Nothobranchius furzeri: one gene and its partner. The protein of the gene in region 2 binds, or shares a complex with, the protein of the main gene of each other region. Links are inferred from orthologs where the notes say so. Each region holds a gene or a part of one and is shown on either strand. Other genes may lie near its edges.

What was found.
Region 1: the proteins of brat1 (region 2) and ints11 are in contact, whole or in part, in a cryo-EM structure (PDB 8UIB), measured with the Homo sapiens proteins. The link is inferred for Nothobranchius furzeri from reciprocal best matches to the Homo sapiens genes BRAT1 and INTS11. Residues at the interface, in NP_689956.2 of Homo sapiens: Asp25, Thr27, Cys28, Glu30, Lys31, Asp34, Pro117, Ser156, Ser157, Leu158, Phe159, Ser162, Lys358, Ser359, Cys366, Arg367, Arg424, Arg427, Thr465, Lys468, Lys469, Trp514, Glu515, Asp518, Ser519, Glu522, Tyr560, Ser564, Ser604, Glu605; in NP_060341.2 of Homo sapiens: Leu9, Val15, Gly16, Lys27, Met35, His36, Met37, Gly38, Phe39, Arg43, Asp47, Tyr50, Thr58, Asp59, Asp62, His70, Leu71, Asp72, His73, Asp87, Gly88, Gln97, Pro101, Ile102, Glu105, Arg108, Lys109, Val112, Asp113, Lys114.

Annotation. Positions count from the first base shown.
Region 1 is NC_091755.1:39,095,396-39,103,785, reverse strand, and holds the start of ints11 (integrator complex subunit 11), read right to left. Parts: upstream 5,000-8,390; 5' UTR 4,854-4,999; coding exon 4,826-4,853; intron 4,741-4,825; exon of another isoform or gene 4,699-4,740; coding exon 4,601-4,698; intron 2,563-4,600; coding exon 2,489-2,562; intron 1,657-2,488; coding exon 1,428-1,656; intron 1,280-1,427; coding exon 1,181-1,279; intron 1,109-1,180; coding exon 1,074-1,108; intron 1-1,073. Other genes in the region: cptp (ceramide-1-phosphate transfer protein), read left to right, coding at 5,895-6,028, 6,994-7,516.
Region 2 is NC_091744.1:16,246,850-16,254,109, reverse strand, and holds the end of brat1 (BRCA1-associated ATM activator 1), read right to left. Parts: intron 5,256-7,260; coding exon 5,182-5,255; intron 4,413-5,181; coding exon 4,328-4,412; intron 4,251-4,327; coding exon 3,994-4,250; intron 3,914-3,993; coding exon 3,035-3,913; 3' UTR 2,898-3,034; downstream 1-2,897. Other genes in the region: GRB2-related adapter protein, read right to left, coding at 1,059-1,178, 1,365-1,462, 1,557-1,634. UniProt on the Homo sapiens protein: Component of a multiprotein complex required for the assembly of the RNA endonuclease module of the integrator complex.

The sequences.
Region 1 (8,390 bases), on a different chromosome or scaffold from region 2:
TGATAACTAAAGTAAGTGCAGAATCTAAAGTTGTCCACTAGTCGCACGCATTACGTTGAGTCACATTTTTACGTGACTCCAGGTGGTACACATTCATAAACGGACATGAACGTTTCCAACCTACACACATCTTTTCATTATTTTATTATCAAATTTATTGACATGGGAAAAAATATCTCGATAAAGAGTCGGAAATTTCGATAACGACACATTTTGGATTTATTGCCCAGCCCTACCATGAACCACAAAACAGGAACTATTAAGATGAATGTGTTACCTAACTGCTCTCACCTGCTCCAGACATCACCCATCGTGACTCCAACAAAACAATTTAGTTCTATGTCAACTTTTATCTAGGAGAGAAAAAAAGACCCAGGATTCGACTTCAGAAACTCCAACTACCCAAAGATAGAGGTGGCAGTTTCAGAATGGTTAGGAATTGTAGAGGTGATGCATGTTATGGAGAGATAAAATTCATTAAAATGTGAAAAACATTTGAAAAGATGGAACCTGTAGAAATCCTGCTGATGGTCCGACTGTCCCTGTACTTACTTGGCTGGCTTACCGTTATTTTGTAACCCCCTTCTGTAAAGGGGGCCAAACTTTGGAACTCTCTACCTACTGACCTAAAACTAGAAACGGACAGTAAAGTTTTTAACAAAGAACTCAAAAAATGGTTCAAGTCTAAACAACGTCTACATGAATAGTTTTAAAGTCTTACATTGCTGCTCAAATTGCCTTGTTTTATTCTTTTTTATTGAAAATTGTTTGCAATTTTAATCTGTTTTCTGTTTGATTAATTGTTGATCACTTTGCATTTTATTTAAATGTACTCTACTTTTTAGAAAGGTTCAATGGACAAGTGTTGCAAATTAGCACTTGTGCTAACACACTAAACAATGCATCTGGTTCGTCCAATGTAATTGCTGTGTCCATGTCAAATAAACATCACTACTACTACTATTTTCTCTTCTCTCTCCACCCACTCATTGATCAGCATACTTAACCCAGAGACATGGTAATAATATTATGGACTATATTAATATCCCTAAGGTTGGAAAGAGGCAGCTTACCCTAAGTGCCTGTCTGGTGTCATATTGTAGTCCCCCTAAAAAACAAAAAGATTTTGGTGAGACCGCACTTCCGTTCACCGACTTCAGCTCAGACGTTGTACACTCACAGTGTAGACTACAGACTCTGATCCCACTTTGATTTGCACCATGGCAGCTCCCAGGACATGGCCTGCATAGTAGGCCTTGATCTCCAGCTCATCATCCACCTGCCAGGAGCACCACACAAACAACTTGATTTGCCATCAAATGAGAGAAGCAGCTGGCGCAGAGAGAGAGAGAGAGAGAGCGAGGGAGACAAGCTTAGATGAAACTCGTTTGACCCAGAGTGTCAAAAACAAGATGTCAACACAGCACCTGGACTGTTTGGTGCAGGTTCAAAGGGACCACTTTCTTCATGCAGTCCTTGATCATTTGTGATGTGAAGAAGTTGGTTTCTCCCTTCTTATCAACGGTGATCTTCCTGAAATCCTCCAGTAAAATGGGACAAATGGCCTTGGTGGGGTGAGTCATGTAGATTGGACCATCGTAGCCCACCATCTCACTCATGTAGGGCAGAGCACCACAGTGGTCCAAGTGAAAGTGGCTGAGAGGAAAAATAGCAGTTGTTTAAGAAAGTTACAGATTTGCAAAGGTACCGTACTTTCCGGACTATAAGTCGCACTTTTTTTTCATAGTCTGGCTGGTCCTGCGACTTTTATTCAATTCAATTCAAGTTTATTTATAAAGCGCCAAATCACGACAAGAGTCGTCTCAAGGCACTTCACATAATAAACATTCCAGTTCAGGACAGTTCATTAAGCCAATCAGAAATAATTTTTCCTATATAAGGAACCCAGCGAATTGCATCAAGTCACTGACAAGTGTCAGTGACTTTACGGTCACTGACTCATACTAAGCAAGCATAAAGCGACAGTGGAGAGGAAAACTCCCTTTTAACAGGAAGAAACCTCCAGAGAATCCTGGCTTAGTATAAGCAGCCATCCTCCACGACTCACTGGGGATCGAGAAGACAGAGCAGAGACACACACACACACACACACACACACACACACACACACACACACACACACACACACACACCAACGTGAATTATATACCAAATTATGTAGGCTATACCGCGCTGCTGTGGGCCGGCTCCGGACCAGGTTTCAGCTCCTCTGCCCCACCATCACCTGCTGGAGACCGTGACGAGCTGCTGCAACAGCTGGTTGTTTATTCTGCTGTTGTATTGTCTTGCAATGTGAAACGCTTGGTCTCAGATTTTGTAAGAAAAATAATAAAATTTCCCCCCGAAATGCAACTTACAGTCCAGTGCGACTTATATATGTGTTTTTCTTCTTCATTAATACATTTTATGGCTGGTGCGACTTATACTCCGGAAAATACGGTAAGTAGAAGAAAGTCAAAAAACAAACCTGATGATGACACAGTCCAAAAAATCTGTCAGACGCCCGTTCTGGGTCACATAGGAGAAGTCAGGGAAACGTCTCTGGAACACGAACACGAACACGAACACACACACACACACACACACACACACACACACCTTTAACTGTTCAGAACAAGGACACAATTTTCAGCTGTAGATTAAGTGTGAAGTTGCACCATTAGTGTATGTAACTCACTACAGGAGCACCTATCAACCCATGTGCAACAGCAGCATCGCTGTTTCATCTCTGGTTACACATTTTTAGCAAATACTTTTTACAGCTTCAGATGTACAGTTGGCTGCATTTAAGGCCGGAGAGCTCGTCTTTTGCTTTATTTTGGTCCTATAACATGTCCTCTTACAGATCAGGGGTCTCATTTATCAAACGTTGAGTAGAATCATCACTAAAACCGTACTTAAGCTCAGCAAAAAATATGTACTTATGCCAAGTAGGTTTGTGATCTATCAAACATGGAGGACGCACAGCTGCACGCAATCTCCGCTTCATGAATCAGAAACTATCTAGAACGATTCTCAGCTGCTTTTTAGTCACATCCCGCCCTCACCACGCCCACTTTCTGCCATAAATGGTCAATGCAAAGTGCCTTGTGGATCTCATGCATATATATAAGCCGGCTGTTGCAGCGCTCCACCAATAACATGGCGACCGTAGATCAAGGCAGATCAAGGAAGCGCAATTTCACAGAAGCAGAAGTTGAGGTACCTGTGGGTGAGGTGGAGAAATGAAAGGAAGTACTTTTGCAAAACAACTAAGAGAAAATCCACGGAGTGGCACAGCGTTGCTGAAGCCGTCAATGTTGTGAATTCTTCAGAGAGATCTGTGGCGGATATTAAAAAAATGGTCAGATTGGGATTCAATCCCCAGACTCCCGGGCGAAAGTCACGCACGCTAACCAGTCATCCAAACGGAGAGCTCCCTTGTACAACTAGCCAGGGTGCATGATCAATCGGGTCACAGTGACAGGACACACACCGTCACACACGCATGACATTCTGTCTCAATCTGTCCCCCTGCTGATATTCTGTATTCCGTATTCTGCGCTTCAGGCTGTGTGTGTACGCACATGCGTGTGTGTGGTCCTGATCTGTGTGCGCACGAAGCGGTACAAGTGATAATGCTGCAGGATTTCATAATGTTATCCTTCTCAGCAGCAGCACTGCAGGTGCTCTCCATGTCCAAAATGTGCGTAAGCCAGGTCCTTAGTCAACTTAAAGTTGTGCACATGTTTCCGCTAAGTTTTCTTTCATAAATCCCAAAGTTTGCGTGGAAAGTTGCTCACGCAGTTTTCCGACCCGTTTTGTGCGTAAGCAAGCTTGATAAATGAAGCCGCTGTAGAGGGAGCTTTGATCATTTATATCACTATATTCTGTCAACAAACTGTGAAATTGATATATTAACACAATGTGTTTGGCAGCCTTGCCTCTGCCAGTGCACCCTAGGGCAGCTGCGGCTACATCGTGGCTCATCCCTACCAGCGTGTGAATGGGTGAATGGCTGATTGTGTTGTGAAGCGCCTTGGGGGGTTGTAGAACCCCAAGAAGGCACTATACAAATACAGGCCATTTACCATCTATATTCAAGGTCAGGCTCAAGGAGAGGAAACCAGACACCCCTTCCCAAGCAAAACTCTCCAGCTTCTCCCGAGTGATCCCAAAACCATCCCAGAGGATTTATAACTCTGGGTTGTTCCTAGACTTTCCTCCCGGTGGGATTAGACAGGAAACGTCCAAGTGAGGCAGCCAGAAGACAATTTTAACTGACCACGTTTATGATAACTCGTAAGAAAGCAAAATGAAAATAAATAAAAAACAGACTTCCTCCTCCCATCACCCCTAAACAAGACACCGAGACCTCTCTCCTAACCTGATGGGAGATTTCCATCTATCTGGGAACAAGGACGGCTCCTGGTGATTTTATGACTTCCTTTTTCAGTCAGGTGAAGCTCACCCAGGACAGCCTGTTAAAAATCTAGTTATGCTGACAGTTGTTGTATTTTCTGACTTCATCTGATAGCCAAAGTCTTCCCTTTACCTCTTGCAGCTGAAGCTCGCCTCAGTAAACATACTCTTTACTTACGTCATCGTTGTATCCCATGTGCATCCCACAGTCCAGCATGATGTTTTTGCCTCCGATGGAGACAAGAATGCAGCTGCGGCCGACATCCTGTCCAGCACCTTGGAGAGGGGACAGAAGACACACGCAGCTTCATGCTAGTCCTGCTAACACAGCGTCAACGACAAAAGCCTACATCAAACATCGACACAGAACTAGCTTAGCACATGCTAACTAGCTAGTACTCACCTAATGGTGTAACCTTTATCTCAGGCATGTTTTAGTCAACAGTCTGCTGCCAGGATCACCGACCTGTCACAAACTGCTAACCTGTTAACAACAAATAATATTCACGATGAGAAATAAATGTTTATTAGCTCTAACTTTTACGAGCGGTTATCTCATGCTTTCAACAGGAACAGGATACATTCCGGTTAGCACATTCAAAATAAAAGTTCATACAAAAAATAAATAAAAACACTACCGAAGTCTTATTAATACTTATTTATTCTAATTATTCTTCACGTTAAAATGTGTTGTAACTTTGCGTTTAACTGTTCAAAAAATTCTAGCTGAATATTAAATATGTTTATGAGGTTATCATCATCATTGCTTTTAAGTTAAATTAAGTGGAAAACAGTGCTCTTTATTGTATTTATTAAATTAACAGAAAAACATATTAGTTTGGGTTTTTGGACATGTAGCAGAATGTTTTACAAAGTTATGTTTTTATGCAGATAATTGCTGAAGTTTAACTGTGGTTCCAGCATTTTACTTATTTATTGCAGTTTATGTTTGGAAACCAAAATGTGCCCAAAACACATTTTATTTTATTTCCACACTAACATTTAGTTAAATGTGTGTATTTTTATTTAAACGAACAGACATGAATACCCATAAAATATGTAAATAAATTGTTTCCTACTTTGAAAAGTGAAAACTTTTATTCTCGTTTCGCTTCCCTTTAAATACAATGAAATGGCTCCAGTTTCCATTTTGATTCATCCGCGAGTTTAAAATTGAGCTCAGTTGTTCTCGTTTTACATTTCCAGTGGGATTTATTTTGAAAGTAAGACTTTCAATCTCCCGTGTATTTCCGTTTGAGCATGCGCAGTAAACGTGGCTCAGAACAGGAAGGACCTGTCATTTCCACTGATGAAAAGCACCGATGAAACGTCTTCTTAGCTCTCTGAAACCTCCCCGTAGGTGATGCGTTTGCTGTCCGGGTTCCCTCGCCCAGCTCCAGCTTTTTCCTCGCCATTAAAGACGAGTTCTTCTTTAATTTGGTGGTTTTGTTCACATATCCTCATCCAGAACCATGGCAGGTTCATGGTCTTCAGATAATCAGAAATTCTGCATGCGGGAGGTGCTGGACACTTTTAAATTATGTTTGTCGCCCGATAAAGAAGTCTATCTAGAACACTACGTCGCTGGATGGCGTGGTCTCGTCAAGTAAGTGATTATCTACAGTTTTACTGATTTTTAAATAATTTCGGAGTCTACACTTACACAAAATGTGTTTATTTATTTTATTGCATAGGCTATTTTATGGCGTGCATTTTTTTTTAAATTATACAGCTCCTAAATTGGCATCATATTAGTAAACATGGAAAAATAAAATTCCACTATTCCAGAACCGCATTGGTGGCTGCACTAAATTACTCTGAGGGCCCTGACGTTGGAGACGCCTGTTCTAAAACAACTAATCTCAGAAATATCCTCCAGGCCACATGATATCTGTGTACACTGTTTTAAACCTCGACACAGTTATTCTTACTGAAGGATGAAATTCTGACAGGAATCTGTTTGCGAAGTCGCTGTGACTGCAGCTATGACTCTCTATCTAATTAGTCTGTTTCTCCAAACTGAGGCCGCTCAGTGAACCATCTTAAACAGGTAAAATAGAAATTTTTTGTAACTTTTCCACAGAAGCACTTGTAAGCTCTGATCTTGATCATGTATCATGGTATCAGATTAATGTTCTGAATAATCTAAATATGTTTAAAATTAAAACGAGGTGAACAAAGCCTTCATTGTTGTTTTCTCTTGATCTCTAAAGTTTAGAGCTTTAATCCCATCGTAGGATGGGGCTGAAACGGGTCTGAATGAATAAACACATTTCAAATCTTGTAGGAAAACCCTTTAATGTATAGAAATGCAGGAAAAAAGACCAATTAAAGACAAACGTATCTAAATCAGACACCACTGGGAAGATGTTGGGTTCTCTTACAGGTGGTTACCCTAGCAACGCCTCAGGTCGTAACCTAGTTTTCTGTTGGAGCTGCTGGCGAGTTCCTAGAATTCCTCGTGGGTCTGACTGATTACGTTTAGCCGGTTAAAGCTGGACTCTTCTGCGCCGAGCTGTAGCGACATGACAAACAGCTCACGGTGTGCATTTTCTAAATCCCCCCCGACAGGTTCCTGAACAGCTTGGGCAGTGTCTTCACCTTCATTTCTAAAGACGCCGTCAGCAAGATCCAGATCCTGTCAAACTTTCTGAGTGGGGAGAGCAGCTCTCAGTACGTCACGGTGCAGTCCATGGTGAGCTATGAGCTCGAGAATCAGCTGGTGGACGTGAACAAGACTGGCATCCACCCCGAGTCGGGCTGCCGCACCCTACTGAGGCTCCACCGAGCGCTCAGGTGGCTGGAGCTCTTCCTAGAGCGTCTCCGTACCAGCGACAAGCACAGCAAGACCTCTGTCATGTGCTCAGAGGCCTACAACGAGTCTCTGGCTCAGCACCACCCGTGGTTGGTCCGTAAGGCAGCTGGCCTGGCATTTGTTGTCCTGCCTGGACGTACTGCTTTCTTTGAAGTGATGAATGTTGGCCCCCCTGAGCAGGTGGTAGCTGTGCTGGGGGAGGCCCTGCCTCTCATCTTGGAGGTGTACCAGATCACAGAAGACCTTTACGCTAAGCACCACCTGCTGGACTTACCATAGAGGAAAAACCCTGCTAGGATCTGCTGGTGAGGGGATTCAATATGGAAGTGGACCTGTTGCTCTCTGATGAATGCCATAACTTGTATTAAATTGAAGAACAGCAGATTGTAGCCCCATGCATCCTGATTTATAATATGCTGCTTGTTTGTTTCTCTCATCTATCAATTAAAATGCACCAATAGTAATTATTTAGAAGCTAATAAAGTTTTAAAGCTATAATTTATTTCCACCTTGCTTTTCAAACTTTGATATACAGACTTGATATTTACTAGCTGGAATAATCCCAGAATACTTGACTGTCTGACTGGTTACTTGGAATGCATTAAAAATTCATTAAAAAAGATTTGGTGTGGCAGTTTCTGAGCGGGGCTTTTACTATTTATTGTTTTAGCCAAGTATTATCATTTTTACTATGACTAAATGTATCAAAGTACTTTAAATAATATACTTCATTACGACTAAAGACGCCTGGGATTGATTTGGATTAAATGTGAGGAAACCCAATTTTAATCCCATAACAGGTGCAGTTACAGCCTTCCGACACCAGGGGCTGCCCTCGTGCCGAAAACAGGTCGTCATGGGGGCACGGGTACCATGTTGCTAGGGCAACATCGTCACGAGTCGACATGAGCATCCACTTCCTGTTTCTACGGGTGGAAAACAAAATACTGATCCTCAGTACAATCATGTTTAACTTGTAATATTGACTCGTTTGTAAATTGGTAGAAAAAGTCTAGTAAATAATTAAAACTAAAGTTTTATCTGATGTTTAAAGTAACGATTGTGATGGTCCCCCCAACAGGGTAGCAATGCTTTAGCAAGCCAAGATGGTAGGAAATCTTCTCTAGGACGGTGCAGAGCCGCCAGGGACGGC
Region 2 (7,260 bases):
CTGAGCTCTTGCAGGCACACAGATGTCCCCTTTAAACACTAAAGTGCATGTGTGTGTTTATATGCATGTGTGTATGTGTGTGTGTGTGCATGTTTCATCACAAGCCTGTTGCATAACTTACCTGTGTATAATTAAAAGCTGTCTTGTGTTATGCAATCTCCTGATTATAGAACAGAATTAATTTACCCTCAGTGATTAAATGAGTCCCACGTCACTTTGGTGACCCAAAAAACACCTCCTCTTCCTCTTCACCTTCATCATCATCATCATCATCATCATCATCCCCACCATCACCATCATGTATCTCCTCACAGATTCTGTCTTTCTACTCTCTAAAGGTTCTCTCTGTCAATATTTTTGTGCAAAGAGTTCTCTTGAGTAAATCACTGTTAATGGGGGTAACACACACACACACACACACACACACACACACACACACACACACACCTTGTTTAACCTGAGGTGGAAAACTCACTAACACTGATTTCTGTGTGCAGAAATGCTACAGGATGTACTCTTATTAACATATCAGTGAGTTGGTTATAATGTGTTTTTGGCCTTTCTTATCAGCTCCAAATGTTTGTTTGTTTGCTTGTTTGTTAGTTTGTTTTTTGTGGTGATGGAAAAAAACACTTTTTCAAAAATTTGCACATTTCAAGAAGTGGAGTGTTGGTCTTGATTTTTAGGTAAAAGGTGTTTAGTTCTTTTAAACTGGGTTTCTGTGGAGAGGTTATACTAAACATCGTAGTAAAGCTCTTTGAACAACCTCAGTTTGGAGAAACAGATCAGGTCTGACTAGATAAATGAGCTAACGGCTAACCCTAGCGGATCCAAGGCCATCATAACACAGCTCTGATCTGAAAGACGTAACAGATGTTTATCTAACGCTACGTTTTGTAAAACTCCACGCTTCTGTCACAATGCATGATTTACAGAAGATTCTTACAGAAAGCAGCTCGTCTACTATCTCTCCAGATCTCTCCATCCCTTCAGACGGGATATAAATAATTCAGCCTAAATGAAGCGAGCATGTGTGAACATGTGGTGCATTCACTGACCTAACAGAGAGAGAAAACTCTCCTGGGGCTGATTCACTCTCCCTCACCAGAAACACTCCTGTTTCCTGCCAGCGCAGACGCTCCTCAGCTTCAAGTCGGGACACCGCACCTGCAAACCAACTGCAGCAGCAGACAGAAACGTCTATTAAAAATGTTAAAGGCATTCCCACATAGGCTGGGACTTCAACAAACAGCATCTATTTTTTTTAATCAAAAATGATAATAAAAAACTAAAAATAAAGGTTAAAACCTCCCAACTTTGGAAACTACATCTCAAATGTGTAAAATGAGTAGTTTTCTGTTTACGGATGAGGGAGTAGGTAGATGTAGTTCTCTGGTACGTAGCCTCGCTTCCCCTGGATCTCCGATGTGAACCAACAAGAGTCTTCCTCCATTTCTGTCACCTAAAACACACACAGACAGGACACCTAAAACAACACAATCACTACTAAAAACACGCAGAAATCCCTCTAAAGCATCACAATCCTGCGGCCGTACTTTGACAACGTCCCCCTTCTGAAAACTGATCTCGTCTGGCTCTGATGCTGCAAATGAGAAGAGAGCCACAGCCTCCATGGTGGTGGGAGAGAGGAGTGAGATAGCTGAGGGAGAGGAGTGCAGCAGAGGGACGTCAGGGTGACATAGTCCATGTGTGTGGCTGACAAGTTAATGAGGAGTGTTTTCAGCCCGTGTGTCCTTCTCTTCATCCACGTGATTGAGCCTGAGCTCATCCGCGCCGTCCTTTAGCAGAAAACAGAAGTTCAGTTTCTCACCACTTGTCACATTTAGAGCTCTCCTCGGTAGCAGTGATGAGAGCTGCACACCTGAGCTGAATATCAGGAAAGAGATTCCAGGAATCACAACCAAGAAACAACACCAACTTAGTATCAACTGGGATTTATTTGAGTTTTTACATCATGACTCTGAAAACATGGCTGTCAGAAGAGAATCCTCTCTGTTTAAATCAATAATCAATGGCTGTTCTGTCACATTTCCTGTCCTGATGTGTGGATGGGAGTCAGCAGCAACAAGCTCCACTGACTGGATGGACTTTATCTCATTCAAACACATTTCCTGTTCCAAACTTCTACTGATTCGGTCGATTTTAAGGCCACTTTGACGTCCTGTCTACATTTACCATCACAGTTGATTTTACTCCTATAAAAAAAGCAGAATTTTTAAACTAATCTATATCGTAGGTCAGTTACTGAGTTTTAATTAGGACTGTCTTATGTTAGGAAATGATGCAGTTACTTTGGTCCATTCTTTATGAATATATTTATTATTAGAGATGCACGATGCATCCGCATCAACATCGGCCTGTGCTAGTCGGTATCGGTCTAAAACTGGGCCGGTGTTAGCAAACAATATTTTCCTCCACCTAGTAGCCATTTGTGTATCAGTTTCAGAAGGGGAGGGGGGTGATGGTGCGCGATAGTTTGGTCATGTGACAGTGATGGTGGTTATTCCAGAAGTGTACATGTTTGCGTGTAAATTCTCAATGAAAATGTCATTTTAAATGTGGTTTTCCGGTTTATTTTCTTTTTGAGGCATATTGGTGATGAGGAAATCTTTTTTTTCAAAAGAAAAAATAAATGTCAGAAGGGTGAAAAAAATATATATACATATATATAAAATGAAACCTTCAACTGACTAAATGCAAATTTTATACTGAATTCAATCAAAATCAAAAGGGTCAACTCGGGTCTCGGACCAGAACCTTCTCTGCTCTCTGCTAAAAACAGCCTGGAGCACTCAACTACTTTCATGTTGTGTAATAATTAATCTTTTAATTCTACTCAGCCACTCATCAGTGACACTTTTTACTAAATTTGATTAAAGACTGATCTAAAATAAATCAGCCACAACATTAAAACGTCCTCACAGGTGAAGAAAACATGTATGAACGACTCTTGTTCCCACCCATGTGTGTGTGTGTGTGTGTGTGTGTGTGTGTGTGTGTGTGTGTGTGTGTGTCAGTAACAGTCCACTATGACCTCTAGCCCTGGTTCTGAGTTCAGCTGGGTGTTTCTGCTGCCTGCAGTGAGAATGTCCTGCAGCAGAGACATGGGGGAGTTATGTACGTGGTCGCTGCTTTGCGTCAGAACACTCAGCCTCGCGTCTAAACCCAGAGACCTCAGCACCTCACACACACTTACACGCACCATGCAACCTTCATCACGCACACCTCCCTGCTCAGGTTTACGGTCATCTCCAGGATCAACAACATCAGATTTCTGAGCAGGGTCCGCATCCTCGATTCCCAGTATTTTCCGGACCTCCTGGGCCCAGCCACATCCAGGCAGCTCACAGGACACTCCGGGCTCGTCTGGTGCAGAGACCCTTTGGTCTCCTAGTAACAGAGGACAGACGGAGTCTCTGAGTCTCATGAGCAGCTGACAGGCCTTCAGTCCAACAGGCCTGTCACAGTCAACGAGACCACCCAGCAGCACCAAGAAGACTCCCTGATCAACCAAAGTGCTCAAAACACCGACTAAATCTGACTCCCCGTCCCATGTGTGTGCCTCAGAGTGCAACTGAAGCTTGAAGACTTTGTTAGACGTCACGGCGTAGGGATGAGGATGAGCTCCTGGCTCATTTGAGTAACCACGAAGACCTGAGATGACTCGGTCCATCAGCAGCTCAGCCAGCTCCAGAGTGTGAACTTTGACCTCCCAGTCTAGATCAGCACTGCCTTGTGAGAGGACAGCATGCATGGACTGCATGAGAAGTGAGCAGGAGGTGGGCGAGGGGCACAAGGAGAACCAGGTGATAAAGTACTGAAGGACAGCCCTCCTAGAGAATCCCTCCGTGTCCTGGGAGAGGATTTCATGCAGCCGACTCACAAGTTCAACCTGAAAGGACAAAAAAAAGGTGATGAACAATCACTTTATCTTATTTATTGATAAAAACAACCAGTTCCATTTCCACCTGCCTGCTCCTGTGTGGGTGCTGCCCCCTGCTGCCAGCTGGGTGCCAGTGTCTGGGCCAGAGCAGAGATGGAGCTGGCTCTCACGTAGCTCTCTGGATCCTGCAGTGCCTCCTTGAGGAGAGAAACGGTAAAGCAGCGGTCGCCCAGCAGAACCTCAGACGTGTCACACAGCCCTGCTAGGTGTCCCAGAAACTCCACGGTCGAGTCTCTCACCTCCCAACGCACATCACACACACGCTTTCCCACCACCTGGATGAGATCTAACACGGACGAGCGTTACGCCACTTCTGTCCACATGTGGATCCAGAACTCAGAGCTGCAGCAAAGAGGGGCATACCTTTTCTGAGCTGGTCTGTTATCGAGGAGAGATCCGCACACGCACTAATCCACTTCATCAGAGTTCGGTACGACTTCTGGAGGACCTGAAAAACACCCGTCCACACGCACACAGTTATAAATACTCTAGTCACAGCAGACATTTTTATGTCCACCAACCTTTCTTTCAACATTTCTTTATTTCTTCTTGAAATTATATCTCATTTGACCTTGTATCAGTTTCTGAGGCAACCATTTTTGTGCAAAAACTGCAAAAAACACCAGCCTCTCCCAAGTGTGTGTGTGTGTGTGTGTGTGTGTGTGTGTGTGTGTGTGTGTGTGTGTGCGTGTGTTGTGTTGTGTGTGTGTGTTTTGGGTTTAAGTGTGGGGAATCTGGCTGCTCTACAAAGGCAATGAAGCCCTTTAACATGAACAAAGTACACAAACAGTTCAAAAGGCATCAGATTTACAATTAAAACAATAAAACAAGACACACTATTTAATGAAATGTCAGAATCATTTGTAAAATATGGTGTTTAAATAAAAAATTATACCCATTTCGTGTTTTCTTTTGTATTCATTGGATAAATTCTGTATTTTTGTCATCTTTTTGTTGTTTTGCATTTAAATACTCCCCTATGTTGTACTGGAAGGTAAAAACAAAGCATACAGTAGAAAAACACAGAGTTACATACTGAGAAATTAGTTAAATTGATGCAAAGGAAGTACAGAAAATCCTCTACATCCAGCAACAGTACTGCTCAACGTTTGGAGCCAGCGTGAATCTAAAAGCAGATTTAAAGTGGTGAAGTTGATCATCTACTCTAAAAAATGGAAGACATGGATTTTGGTGATCAAACACACACAAGAACTTACAGTGGGCTCAGAAGCAGGACTGTTCAGATACTGCATGAGAAGTGTGAACACCTCCGCCAGCAGGACTTTCCCTCCTGAGACAAAAACAAGATAAAATCAGAGCCACTTTTGTACAAAAATCTACATTTATGCCCCCCCAAAGCAATAAGTCTAGTTGTTTTAACAGGATTACCACGCCCTGGATGACTTTAAATGAGCCGGATTAAATTATTTTGCTCCCAAACTCAGGAGGGTCTATTTCATACACATTGTTTTAAAGACAGTTTACTCAATAAGATGGAAAAATGCACAACATTTGTTTGAATTTAGGTTAATTATTTATTATACTAGAATCAATCAAAAATGCATAGGATTATTTTAGGATAAGAAATATATCCAGTGAATATTTTACATCGCTCAGAGGTTAGTTTAAATCATAAGCAGACACTAACTAGTTGATCTTGGTTGATTGGTCACATGGACAAACATGGACTACCATGCTGCAGGGGGGCAGTCTAATGGAAGCAGGGAAGAGTGGGTCCAAGCAGCTAGTCAGCGCTTTGATTGGCCGCTGCTATTCATCCCCGTCTTCGGTCTTCATCAAAGTAATTTAAAGGGATACTCTACCCAAAAGTTACATTTTGTCTGTTGACATATTTTCCAGCGTTAGAAAAGTGGGAAAAAAACATTTTCAACCAGCCCAGTTATTGTCCTGACCCAGCTGTACTTCTTTAGCTTAGCATAAAACACTGTAAGCGAATGGGACCAACTATCATTGTGAGGAAAAAAAGTCTGTTCAAATCACTCAGTAGTGATACAAATTGTATTGAGCGGCCTAAATAATCATCAATCAATCAGATTTATTTATATAGCACCTACCACCACCTTATCAGAGGCCCAAGGTGCTGAACTGCACATAAAAACAACATAGTAGATAAAAGAGAGAAAAAATTATTAAAAAAATAGAAAAGTACAAGTAAAAGTAATTAAAAACCATACAGTACAAAAGGTGAAAATACGAAAGCCAGGGTCAACGATGCTGGGGAAAGCTAGTAGATAAAAGAGAGATTTCAGGAGAGACTAACTCCTGTAGAGAAGGAGCTTGCTTCACTGCCAGAGGGAGCTCATTCCAGACTGTAGGGGTCATTACTGAGAAGACCCGGTGTCGGTGCAGGATCTGCTCGGGTGCAGGATCGGCTCGGGGTCCTTCGACTGCCGATGACGTCACATTACTGCAACTCTACTCGGCTTTCACACACACGTTTTGGAAAGACATCAGCAGTTTTGTTAATAAATTCTTGTTTGTTAACATCTAAATGTTTTCTTTATAATTGTAATTTGTTGATAAAACACCATATTATCTTTGTTTTGTAAAGAATGTGAAACTGCATAAAACCAACATCGGACTGACAAACAAACAGTTCTTATATGTGAAGCCACGTCTGTTTGTATTAACGTGGAGTTCATCTGTATAATTCCTTAGTTGTTATCTAAATACATTCTTTGACTCAAAATGTTGCTTGGTGTCTTTCAATAAAGTTCTTATGTTTTATTTTGCCCCCTTTCATCAACATCAAGAGCTTTTGAGGGTCACCGTTTATCATTTGCTTATATTTTACATTTACTTTAGAAATTCAAACATATTTTCTCCAAAAAGTGTTGATTTTTGGACTACAGGACTACAACCGCTAAGACTACGGCCACAAATTTGTTCTGACCAATCAAAATCATGATGTGATAACGTAACTTCCGTAAGCTTCATGTTCAGCCAATCAACTACTTTGACGTCATTGGCAGTCGAAGGACCCCGAGCCGATCCTGCACCGACACCGGTCCCCTTGATCTGAGTTTAGAGCGGGGGACTTCCAGCCACTCCTGCTCAGCAGAGCGAAGAGCCCGAGTGGGGACACGCCGCTGCAACAGTTCAGCAAGATATGGGGGAGCACTGCCCTGCAGCACCCTGATCACATAGAGGAGAATCTTAAATCTTGCCCCGGTAGCCAGTGCTTAGAAGCTACCACTGGCATGATGTAGTCTCTCCTTCTGGTCCCAGTCACAAATCTCGCAGCGGAGTTTTGGACTAGCGGGAGTCGTGCAGTA